Linked DNA regions of Caenorhabditis elegans. The protein of the gene in region 2 purifies or fractionates together with the protein of the main gene of each other region. This does not show direct contact. Each region holds a gene or a part of one and is shown on either strand. Other genes may lie near its edges. The genes, in order: rnr-1, cest-4 and exc-4.

The links.
Region 1: the proteins of cest-4 (region 2) and rnr-1 fractionate together in Caenorhabditis elegans (co-fractionation; one large-scale study listed by BioGRID). This does not show direct contact.
Region 3: the proteins of cest-4 (region 2) and exc-4 fractionate together in Caenorhabditis elegans (co-fractionation; one large-scale study listed by BioGRID). This does not show direct contact.

What each region holds. Positions count from the first base shown.
Region 1 is NC_003281.10:9,226,068-9,229,824, forward strand, and holds the start of rnr-1 (Ribonucleoside-diphosphate reductase large subunit), read right to left. Parts: upstream 2,184-3,757; 5' UTR 2,182-2,183; coding exon 2,056-2,181; intron 2,012-2,055; coding exon 1,733-2,011; intron 1,686-1,732; coding exon 955-1,685; intron 908-954; exon of another isoform or gene 783-907; intron 733-782; coding exon 82-732; intron 34-81; coding exon 1-33. Other genes in the region: T23G5.3 (uncharacterized protein), read right to left, coding at 3,168-3,275, 3,349-3,463, 3,517-3,757. UniProt on the Caenorhabditis elegans protein: Provides the precursors necessary for DNA synthesis. Catalyzes the biosynthesis of deoxyribonucleotides from the corresponding ribonucleotides.
Region 2 is NC_003282.8:6,800,702-6,804,458, forward strand, and holds the start of cest-4 (Carboxylesterase type B domain-containing protein), read right to left. Parts: upstream 1,637-3,757; 5' UTR 1,559-1,636; coding exon 1,324-1,558; intron 1,080-1,323; exon of another isoform or gene 1,056-1,079; intron 998-1,055; exon of another isoform or gene 977-997; intron 625-976; coding exon 518-624; intron 471-517; coding exon 362-470; intron 208-361; coding exon 112-207; intron 59-111; coding exon 1-58.
Region 3 is NC_003279.8:14,516,981-14,520,737, forward strand, and holds the start of exc-4 (Chloride intracellular channel exc-4), read right to left. Parts: upstream 1,740-3,757; 5' UTR 1,736-1,739; coding exon 1,355-1,735; intron 1-1,354. UniProt on the Caenorhabditis elegans protein: May insert into membranes and form chloride ion channels. Involved in the formation of the excretory canal. Required to prevent cystic lumenal expansions in the excretory cell.

The DNA.
Region 1 (3,757 bases), on a different chromosome or scaffold from region 2:
GGAGCCATCAGAAGACTGTTGCGGATACCATGCCTGTAAATAAGTAGTTTAATCAGATTCGAAAGAGTATTTTAATCTTACTTTGCAATTTTCTTGCGAAGAGTGGCCCAATCGCATTGATCGGTTGGAGTGACTCCCCACATATCAAATTGAAGCTGTCCTTTCGATACTGGAGATCCTTCGTATGTCGAGTATGGTCCATTCAACTCAGCCAATTCACAACTGGCTTCCAATGCAGCGTAGTAGATGGTTTCGAAGATTCGTTTGTTGAGATCTCTGGCTTCTGCCGAAGTGAATGGGTAACGCATCAACATGAAGCAATCAGCGAGTCCTTGGACACCAAGCCCGATTGGGCGATGGCGCATATTAGAGTTGCGAGCCTCCTCGACTGGATAGTAGTTGACGTCAATAATCTTATTCAAATTTCTGGTTATAACTTTAGTCACCTCAGCCAGTTTGACGAAGTCGAACTTTTTCTCGGGGGTCACGTAGCGATTGAGAGCAATGGAAGCAAGGTTGCAAACTGCAATCTCATCTGGAGCAGAGTACTCTATGATTTCAGTGCACAAGTTGGAACACTTGATAGTTCCAAGATTTTGCTGGTTAGACTTGCGATTGGCGGCATCTTTGTAGGTGATGTATGGAAGCCCGGTCTCGATTTGGTTGGAAACGATGTGCTCCCAGAGCTTGCGGGCCTTCACCGTTTTGCGGACTCGTCCCTCGGCTTCGTATCTGGAAATTTTGATATGAACTTTGCAAATTTAACTTCACTGTTTAAAAGTTTTTGTTAGTTGATTTTTGTCCGGAGCACACCTTTTTTTTTGAGTATATTCCGGTTATCGATCAACTATTTCATATTCGAAGTTAGTAAACTCAGTCCAAGCAGTACTCTTAAAGTTCTGTCTGGATATCGCACTTCGGTAATTAAAAAAATAAGAACCAGGAGATACTTACTTGGCGTAAAGAGCTTCGAACTCCTCTCCCCAGCAATCATCAAGTCCTGGACATTCACATGGGCACATCAACGACCATTCTTGATCCTTCTCGACTCGCTTCATAAAGAGATCTGGAATCCAAAGAGCAAGGAACAGGTCTCTGGCACGTTCCTCTTCCGGTCCAGTGTTCTTGCGGAGAGATACAAACTCGAAGATATCGGCGTGCCATGGCTCCAGGTAAATAGCAAATGCTCCTGGGCGTTTGTTTCCTCCTTGATCAACATAACGAGCAGTATTATTGTAGACACGAAGCATTGGTATGAGTCCGTTAGATGTTCCATTAGTTCCAGCGATCACAGATCCAGTGGCGCGAATTTTGTGAACATTGAGTCCGATTCCTCCGGCACTTTTTGAAATAAGAGCACACTGCTTCAATGTATCGTAGATTCCGAGAATGGAGTCTTCACTCATTGTCAGAAGGAAGCATGAAGACATCTGAGGACGGCATGTTCCCGAATTGAAGAGAGTTGGGGACGCATGGGTCATGTAACGCTCCGACATCAGATTATAGGTCTCGATTGCGGAAGTAATATCATCTCCATGGATTCCAATAGAAACACGCATCAACATCTGCTGTGGGCGCTCGACAATCTCCTTGTTTATCTTGAGAAGGTAGGAACGCTCCAGTGTTTTGAATCCGAAATAGGTGTAGGAATAGTCACGATCGTAGACGATGGCGGAATTCAGCTTCTGAAATGAAATTTTTTTGAATAAATGCAATTCCTAGGAAAACTAACATCAGCATTCTTCTCAATGATAGCCCAAGTCTCATCACTGATCATTGGTGCGTGTTTTCCGGTATGAGGATGATGGAACTCGTGAAGGGTTTTCATAACTTCCGAGAACACCTTATTCGTTTTCTTGTGCAAGTTCGAAACGGCGATTCGAGCGGCAAGAAGAGCATATTCCGGATGTTGTGTGGTCATGGAAGCAGCAGTCTCTGCAGCAAGATTATCCAACTCAACAGTTGTCACTCCTTTGTACAAGCCACTGATAACTTTGATTGCAACAGCGACCTGGAAAATTTAATTCATCATTGAACTTGTGTTTAATAACAAACCGGATCGACAAAATCCATGTTCAATCCATAGCTCAGCTTCTGAATTCTGGAAGTGATCTTGTCGAAGTGTACATCTTCCTTTCGCCCATCCCGCTTGACAACATAAGTGCTGTTGTAACGTTGCATAACTGGAAAAGATGAATTATTAACAATTTGAGAAGAAAAGAGTGAAAATGGAGGAGCGGAGAGAATTTTCAAATGACCAGTTCATCTCAAATTTACTAGTTTTCGCGCCTAGGTAATAGAGGAACGCGCGAAAACGAGACGCAGACCAAACAAACGCGCTCCATCGGAATTCAAATTCAAAAGGAAAACGAATTATTGAAATCTTGGTCTCATAGAAAAAACAAGTATTACAGTGAAACAGAATACATTATATTTTCCTACGAATTCTGGCTTCAATATGGTTTTCTGATAGAAGTGAGCTAATGTCGAAACACACAAAATTGGCCTAGAAATTCAAACCGAAAATCCACGGTCCTGAGCATTTCTAACTACGGCAGTTTGAAATGAAATATTAATTCACAGCTGAAGAATTTCATTTAAACAAAAAATGTGTTTAGTTTTCTGTGTGAGGAAAAAATCTATTTATACCCTTCGGCACCACAAGCACCGCCTCTAACCATGGCTCCGCCCTTTAGGACAAGTCCGATAATCGCATTTCATTGCTCTGAAATTTAAAAAAAAACGTAAAATTCAAAATAAAACCACATAAAAATGCATAAGATCAGAAGAAACCCCGAAAATAAAAGCTGTAAAACACAATTTTGCCGCGGGTTACTGTAATGGTCTCGACACGAAATATTGTATTTAAAAACTTTATGCGTGCGCCTTTGAAAGAGTACGGTAATTTTTTAAAGAAAAAAACATGTTTCGATGAAATAATATTTATATTCAGTTTTTCCTTAAATTTTCAAACTGCGGACAAAAAAGCGTAGTTTTTTATTTTCTGATGTTTTGTCAGAGATCACTAAAATTTGCTGTCGGTCAATTCAGACAATAAAAAACCACCAGCTGTGATTGCGAATTTTCGAAAATTCGAAAAACGCGTATCTGTTGGCATGCAAGACATGACATAAATAATTTATTTTGACACAGATATATTCAAATGGTTAGTGACGAGATGTTCCATCTCTTGACTGCATTAATCCTCCAGTTATGAGCACTTCCACGCTATGGCTCTCCTCATCCGCATTTTTGTTGACAACATTGTATACCGCCTGAAAATAGATAAATGAATTTTAATTTTATAATTCTATAGATATTCTACTAATTTTCAAGAAAGTTACTCACACTAAGATCAACTGCCTCTGCAGCAGCATCACAGATTTTCCTCACAGTCGGATCATCAGTCATTTTCTTATCAAAAAGTACCGATGCACCATTCCAACCAACATGTGCAATATGTCTGAAAATAAACTTTTGTAAGTAATTAATAGATAAAAGATATCCAAATCTCACGTAAAGTTCCTTGGAAGACTAATCGAATCTGCAGACGTTTTAATTTTTTTGGAATTTCTGCCAGTTGGAGGTTTTCTCATCGGAATTTGTACAGTATCCTTCGGCTGCATCAATGACGGAAGTGGTGGTGGTGGAGGTGGAGGTGGTTTCGAAAGAAGAAGATTACGTGGGACAATCGGAACATTTTCTTTTTGGGTCAAGATTTGGTTCGGTATTGGAGTTGATGGAAGTTCAGGTGGGC
Region 2 (3,757 bases):
TTATTTCCTCCAAAATTGTGAATTTCATTCTTCACAAACTCGACGCCGAGTAGAATGTCTGAAATTAGTTTAGTAGCCTCAATTCAATTTTAATTGCAAATATATTTATACCATAAAGTGCCAAGTTTGTGGGAGCAATACTTTGATCTTCAACAACGAAATGAGAAAAAATGCCAAGACGGAAAGCAGGAATCGCAATTATTACATCTGAAAAATGTAAAATGTAAAATCAAGATGATTGATTTTCTTCAAGATTTTATGGAAATGTTGAAACAGTGAAAAATTAGACTCAGTGATAAAATTTTCTTTAACATATTTGCCAATAAACTTTAATTTTAAAACAGTTTCACAGTCACTATACCTTGGTTAACAAAAGTCCCAAGCAAATACGTATCATTAAACATTACAGCCGAGTCATACATGAGACCTCCTCCATGAAAATATGTAACAACTGCACAGTCTTTTGATTTCTGGAACATTATTATGTCTGGATATATTATGAGGAACAAAAGCTTACCAAACATTTATCAGAAGTGAAGATATTTATGTGAAGACAATCTTCATCAATCCATTTCTGTGGGCTTGTTGATACAGATGAATTTGATATACATGCTGGTCCGTACGCTGAAAATGGAATAAATTTGAATTGAAAAATTTGAAGGATTCATTTTCCGTGACAATTACTTGCATGATTAAAAATATCAATACTTCTATAACAAAGGTAATTGTGTCTAAACTACATCTGTAATACTCGTAGACTACTCGATGATCAGTTTTGCACGCAACACACTACAACAACGCGTCTGATACGTTGGGACATTTATAACAATTTTAGACACTGTGATCAGCTATGAAACTATTTTTGAAAAATTTGAAGTTTATTGGTATAAACATATATTAACGAAAGTATAAAATATAATTTAAATTTATTAAATTAAATGTTTTCAACATTTGAGTTTATTGACAAAGGCGCTGATGCAAGTTTTATCAAGTTTAACTATTTCTGAAGTTTTTGTATAGACTTATGAACATGTTGAAATATTGAAATATTTTAGGATATCATAAGAGACTATAAATTATTAGTGAAAATTTAGTTTAGATTTTCTAGACACGTTGAAACAGTCGAAAAATTTCTAGCAGTGAAAGAGAAAATCTTGACCATCTACTATATTTTTTGCAGATTTTATAACTGCAGTTCCTATTTCATTGTGTTTAGAAAATTTCGTTGAATTTCAGAAAATTTTTTATTTAACAAACAAACGTAAATTTTTCATGTTTTTCAGAGTAATTAATCTAATTTAATTTCAGAGTTTTCAACCATACCTTTTGCATTTCTCACTCCGGTCCATTTCTCAGGCGGTTCTGGTTTTTGAAATCTTAATTTTCCAATTGGTGGCTTTGCTAATGGAATATGTTTAAATAAATGGAAACTTCCAATTTGATCACCATCAATTTGCCCCAACGATGTAGAAACAATTGCAGATTTTGTAATTGAGAATAATAAGAAAAATGACAGAAACAGTAACAAATTATTCATAAGACCAGGAAGTAAAAGCATTCCTGAATCAATCAATGTCAAACACTAAAATTAGTTTGACAACAAAATTTCTTTTTTTTGAAAACTGATAATGTGTTTGTAGTCAAACATGAAGAATGACACATGTGAGACACAGACTGATAAACACTGTCTGAGCACAATCTACAATTTTAAGTGAATTTTCATTGTGACTTATGCTGAAAAATTACTGTTTCAGGAAAATACCTTCAGTTAAAATCTGTAGTAGTGTCAGTCTGGATATGTTTAAAGGTGGATACCGAAATGTGAGAATTTACTTTTTTAGACCCAAAATGATCCAAAACTACCAAATTTCGTAATGAGACGTTCTGAAAATTTTTCAAAAAAAAGTAATGGCGGCTCAAAGTTTTGGAAAAAATGGCCCATTTGTAGCTAAAATCTCAAATTTTGACAATTTCTCGGTGTCGCAGCAGTTGGAACTTAATTTTTATTTGATTATCATCCTTTAATATATGCTGTGCTCAAATGACCAAACAAACACATTAAAAAAATATTTTTTGAACTTTTGTATTTACAGTTGGTTTATCAAAAAACAATTTTATGAATTTTAATTCTAATTATGTTTTAATTATAGTACTTCTTCTATTAGTCTTGAACCCTTACGGACCAATTGAAAATTAATCTTGACTGCAAAACTTTTAAAAGAAATACGAAATTTGTATTAGATACTGTAGTAGTTTAAACATAAAAAAATACTATAATTTTCTCAAAATTTTTTTTTGAACATTTGGCCAAATGTCAAAACTTCAACTGAGAGTTTTGAAAACTCTCGACCATTTGTTAGTTCATTAAAGGTTAAGTAGAGCCAGTGTAGATTTTGTCTAAATACACTTAAAATATCCGAAATGACAGAATATCATATTAAAACATTTCGAACATTTTTAGTTTTATTTTTCAAAATATCCAGGCAAAGTTTTGGAAATTTGCCAAAATTTTGGAAGGAACAATCTCGAATGTTCCGACCTCTAGAATGTGTTAAAATCAATTATCAAAACAAAATTAATTAATTTAAAAAATCGTAGAAAAAATAAATTTTTGGTCGACTTCCAGAATTATGTGTATCAAAAACTCAGTTATTGCCACTTTTTGACAGTAATGGGGTTATTCAAGTAATGTAGCAAAATGTATTTAAATATATTTGTGACGTCACAAATGTATTTAATACATGTTTTTATATACTTGAATACAGTTGTGACGTAATTTTTCTGCACTTTTTAATTTTCCGACACTACTTGAATAACCCTATAAATAAAACATCTGCCTGTTTTTTTCAAAATTTTTAAATAATTAGTTTTTTGAGCCATTTCGAGTAGAATCATAAAATATATTGCTTCTGGAACTAAATTTATTTTTTTTCGCAGTACATGTGAAATTGCATTTTTATACTGATGTGAAGCAGTTGATTTTTTTAAAAGCTGTTGTCACATTTTTTTAACGAAATGTTGAACTTGGAACACGGCTGTAACATAAATTCTTTTCAAATCATTGATTTGATTCAATTTCTCTGATTTCCGATGTCCCAGTGTCATCTTTCCCTTTCTTTCAGTTTCTCTTTCTCTTTCACTCTAAACCTCTCATAAATCCATTCTATTTTCAACAAATGTTTCCCACAAAAACTCAAAAATTCAACATGTAAAACCGACGAAGGATGCGATGAAAATTAAATTAAATTTTCAAACGTATCTAATATTGGAAATACTTGTCGATTTTCTCTCAGTTTCCACAGATTTTTTTTCAGGAATTGGTGACTCATCTTACTCATATCTCTAAATCTCTTCATTTTAATGAATCTATCAATTTCACAGCAATCAAAAAAGAAGAATCATGTGTTGTCACCAGCATGCTGATGACACGAAAATGTTGTTTTCTCTTCCGTTATATTGACATTGATTGATTAAGATTCATTTGTGGTTTCTCTTTTTTTACCTTTTAAGAACCAATATTATAGTCTTAATTTGTCTTAAGGGGTTTAATTTTTTAGTAAAAACCAAACACTCTACCCAGCGAAACATTTTTCACCGAGCCAATATTTCAAGAATTTTCAATTTTTTACTGTTTCAAACAAAAATCAAATACTTAGCATAATAAATATTAATTAATTTCAATAGTCTAGTGGTTATATAAACTGTGTACTGAAAGTGTTTCAGACATATACACCGTGAAAAACAAATTTTATTCAAG
Region 3 (3,757 bases), on a different chromosome or scaffold from region 2:
GAAAATCAATATTTTAAATCAATTTATTGCAGTTTTCATATTTTCTATGAAATTTGGTATTTTTAATCAGAAAATCGATAACTTAATGACAAAATGTTGCATTTCAGTGAGAAAACCAGAAATTTCTGAAAAAATGCAGTTTTTGGCGGAAAAGTGATTATTTTTCGGTAAAAATTCGGTATTTTCAAAAGAAAATCGAGAATTTTACGAAAATTGACGATTTTCGTGGGGAAACCCTGTTGAAAATTGATGAATTAAATATTTTTCGCGGAAATTTTCAGAGTTTTCGTTAAAAACTTGTATTTTTCGCTTTTTCTAACAAAAATTTTCAATTTTCCCGGGGAAATGATGTATTTTTGTTTCACTGAAAACACTATAAATCAGCAAAAACTGCAAAATGTTCTCCTCGTGGAGTACAAGGCATTTTTTCGCAAAAAATCCATTTTTTGATTTAAATTTTTATAGAAATGTAGAAAATGGGTTGTTCTAGTTGAAAATAACATATATTTTTGTTGAAAATCTTGAAAAAGTCATCAAAACCTTTTAACGGCACTTTTTCGGCTTTTCAAGATTTTCAACAAAGATAAATGTTATTTTCAAATAGAACAACCCGTTTTCTACATTTCTATATCAATTTTAGATTAAAAATTTATTTTTTTGCCGAAAAAGTGCCGCACAGCCCTGAAAACTGGATAATCTTTTCCACGAGGAATACACGATCCGCGTAAATCAACACATTAGGCGTTCGATTTACGCGGATCGTGTACTCCTCGTGGAAAATAAAATTCGTTCTTAATCTAAAATTGATATAGAAATATAGAAAACGGGTTGTTCTATTTGAAAATAACATTTACTTTTGTTGAAAATCTTGAAAAAGACCTCAAATAGTGCCTGAAAGTTGCCGTTTGCCGGAAAAGTGCCGTTAAAAGTTTTTAGATTAAAAAAACTGGGTTGTTTCAAAATGAAAATCACCTTTAATCGGCACTTTTTCCGGCAAACGGAACAAAAATTAATGTTATTTTCATGTGTATGTGATTAAAGGGATTTTCATTTTGAAAGAACCCAGTTTTTTTAATCTAAAAACTTTTAACGGCACTTTTCCGGCAAACGGCAACTTTCAGGCACTATTTGAGGTCTTTTTCAAGATTTTCAACAAAAGTAAATGTTATTTTCAAATAGAACAACCCGTTTTCTATATTTCTATATCAATTTTAGACTAAAAATTCATTTTTTTGACGAAAAAGTGAAAAAAAAGTGCCCCACAACCCTGAAAACTACAGAATCTTTTCCACGAGGAGTACACGATCCGCGTAAATCGACAGTTTCCGGGCTTCTTCTTCTTCCATACACTCACCCTGTACAAGTTCTCTATTCTCTTCTCAGCGGATGGATCCTTTTCAAAGAGTGGAACATTGAATTCCTTTGCCAAATGAAAGATCCGTCCTTCAATCTCTCGATTATCAGTGTATGTCAGCTCTTTTTCCTCTTCAATCATAATCGGTGGTTGTGCTCCGAGAAAGTTCTTCTTAAATGCTTCAGAATTCACGTTGACAGTCTTCACTTCGACTCGTGCAACTCCAATCTCATAAAGAGCATACAACTCCATCCAGAATTCCTGACAGAAAAGATCGGCTCCAATGCGGCGAGCATCAATTCCTGACGCTTTTACGTAGAGCTCGAGAAGAGGTTTTGATTGGGGATCTCCGTTTGATTGGATCTGGTAAGCTTCTGCCATATCTGGAATTAGCGGTGGTTGTTGGAGAGGAAAATTTGGTGAGATAACACAATAAATCCGGAAGAAACAGAAGAAAATTAGTGTATATTTTAAATATATATATATATATATACCACGGCTGGTATATATATATATATATACCAGCCGTGGACCGCACCTTCGGCGCGGCCCCCGACTTCTGGGGCTGAAAATTAATTTTTTATGAAACTACCGTAACCCTACAGTATTCCTACCGTACCACTATTGTACCACTACAGTACCCCGACTATATCCCTACACTAACCCTAACTCACTATCCCTCCAGAAGCCAAAACTTCACAGACTACAAAGACCACATAGACTACAAACTATGGACACACAGAATAAGCGCTTTATATATAGTAAATGATATATATATATATCGAATAAATGGAGAATTTTTAAATTTAGTGAGAAAATATTTACGACAATTGGTGTAAATACTGGAAATTTTAGGTAACAACATCCGTTTTTTACGAATATTTGTTAATTTTCCAATGAATGTTCAAAATTTAGATTTAATAGCTAGTTTTGGGAGTTTTCCACACCTTTTTTTGGATTTCAGCATCAGATTTTAGCATGTTTCTGGAAATTTGTTTCTGGGAATTTCTCAATGAAATTGAAGAAATTTTTTGTTTTGTTACTAGAAAATATTATACAAAGCAAGTTCGAGATAGCTTGAAAACTTTAGTTTCCAGGGGAAATTCTATTACGAGAACAGAAAATTCTGAGAATGCGTACATCGCAACATATTTGACGCGCAAAATATCTCGTAGCGAAACCTACAGTAACCCTTCAAATGACTACTGTAGCTCTGTGTGTGTGGATTTACGGGACTGACTTTCGAGACAATGATATTCAATTTTCTGTAGCTTTTTTTACTGTGTTATTTTTAAAGTGTGCTTTTAATACGCTATCAATTAATAAACGATTTCCGTAAATCGACACAAGCGCTACAGTAGTCATTTTAAGAATTACTGTAGTTTTCGCTACGAGATATTTTGCGCGTCAAATATGTTGCGATGTACGCATTCTCAGAATTTCTTGTTCCCGTAATAAAAAATGAGCCATTGTGGAATTTACTTTCAATATTTCTTACTAAAAATATATTTTAATTTCAGGTTTAAGGTTTTAGTAACAAAAATTGTAATTGTAATTGCAATGGAATGGGGGGTTTTTCAGTAATTCGCAACTTTTAGACGAGATTTGAACACTTTGAACTAAAATACAAGGTACGAGGTATTTTAGTTCTAAAGTGTGCAAAAAACTAGCTGAAAGTTGCAAATTGCGGGAAATCTCCCGATTTTCAGACAAGATGTCCTCCTAAAGCCTTTCAATTGGAATTAAAGCTATATTGAATTAGAAAACCTCATTTTCTATATTCCGTGACAAATATTTTTGGTAAAGAATATTAGAATCACGTGGAGTCACAGAAAGTCTCATTTTGCTTTGATCTTCGAAAAATGCGGGAGAAGAGACGCAGACATCTAATCTGATTTCGCATGGTTAAGTGCGTGCTGACGTCACAATTTTCTGGAAAAATATTCCCGCATTTTTCATAGATCAAACCGCAATGAGACAGTCTGACACCACGTGTAAAAGATTTAAATTGCTTCGCAAAATTTTTTAAAGTAAAATTAAGTTTTTCGGTTAGATTCTGCGATTTCTATATTTCGTGATTAGATTTTAATGAAACAACATGCCAAAATGGCTCTTTTAAAAATTATGTCGATTTACGGCTTAAGTACACATTTTTCTGATAAAAAATGCCAAAAAAATCGAAAAAAAATTATGAAATCGTCCAGAAAGTCAGCAGGTACATGGTCTCGCAACTTGTTAATTGACGAGACACCCCCCGAACGGATCGAACAGAGAGTGTAGAGACCCCAGAGAAAACCGTCCCCCAAATAAATGTCCAATTTGGAAATCCCGCAGTGTGTAGAAGTAGAAGAAGAAGAAGAGAAAGATACAAATACATCTACACTAGACACTAACATATAATAC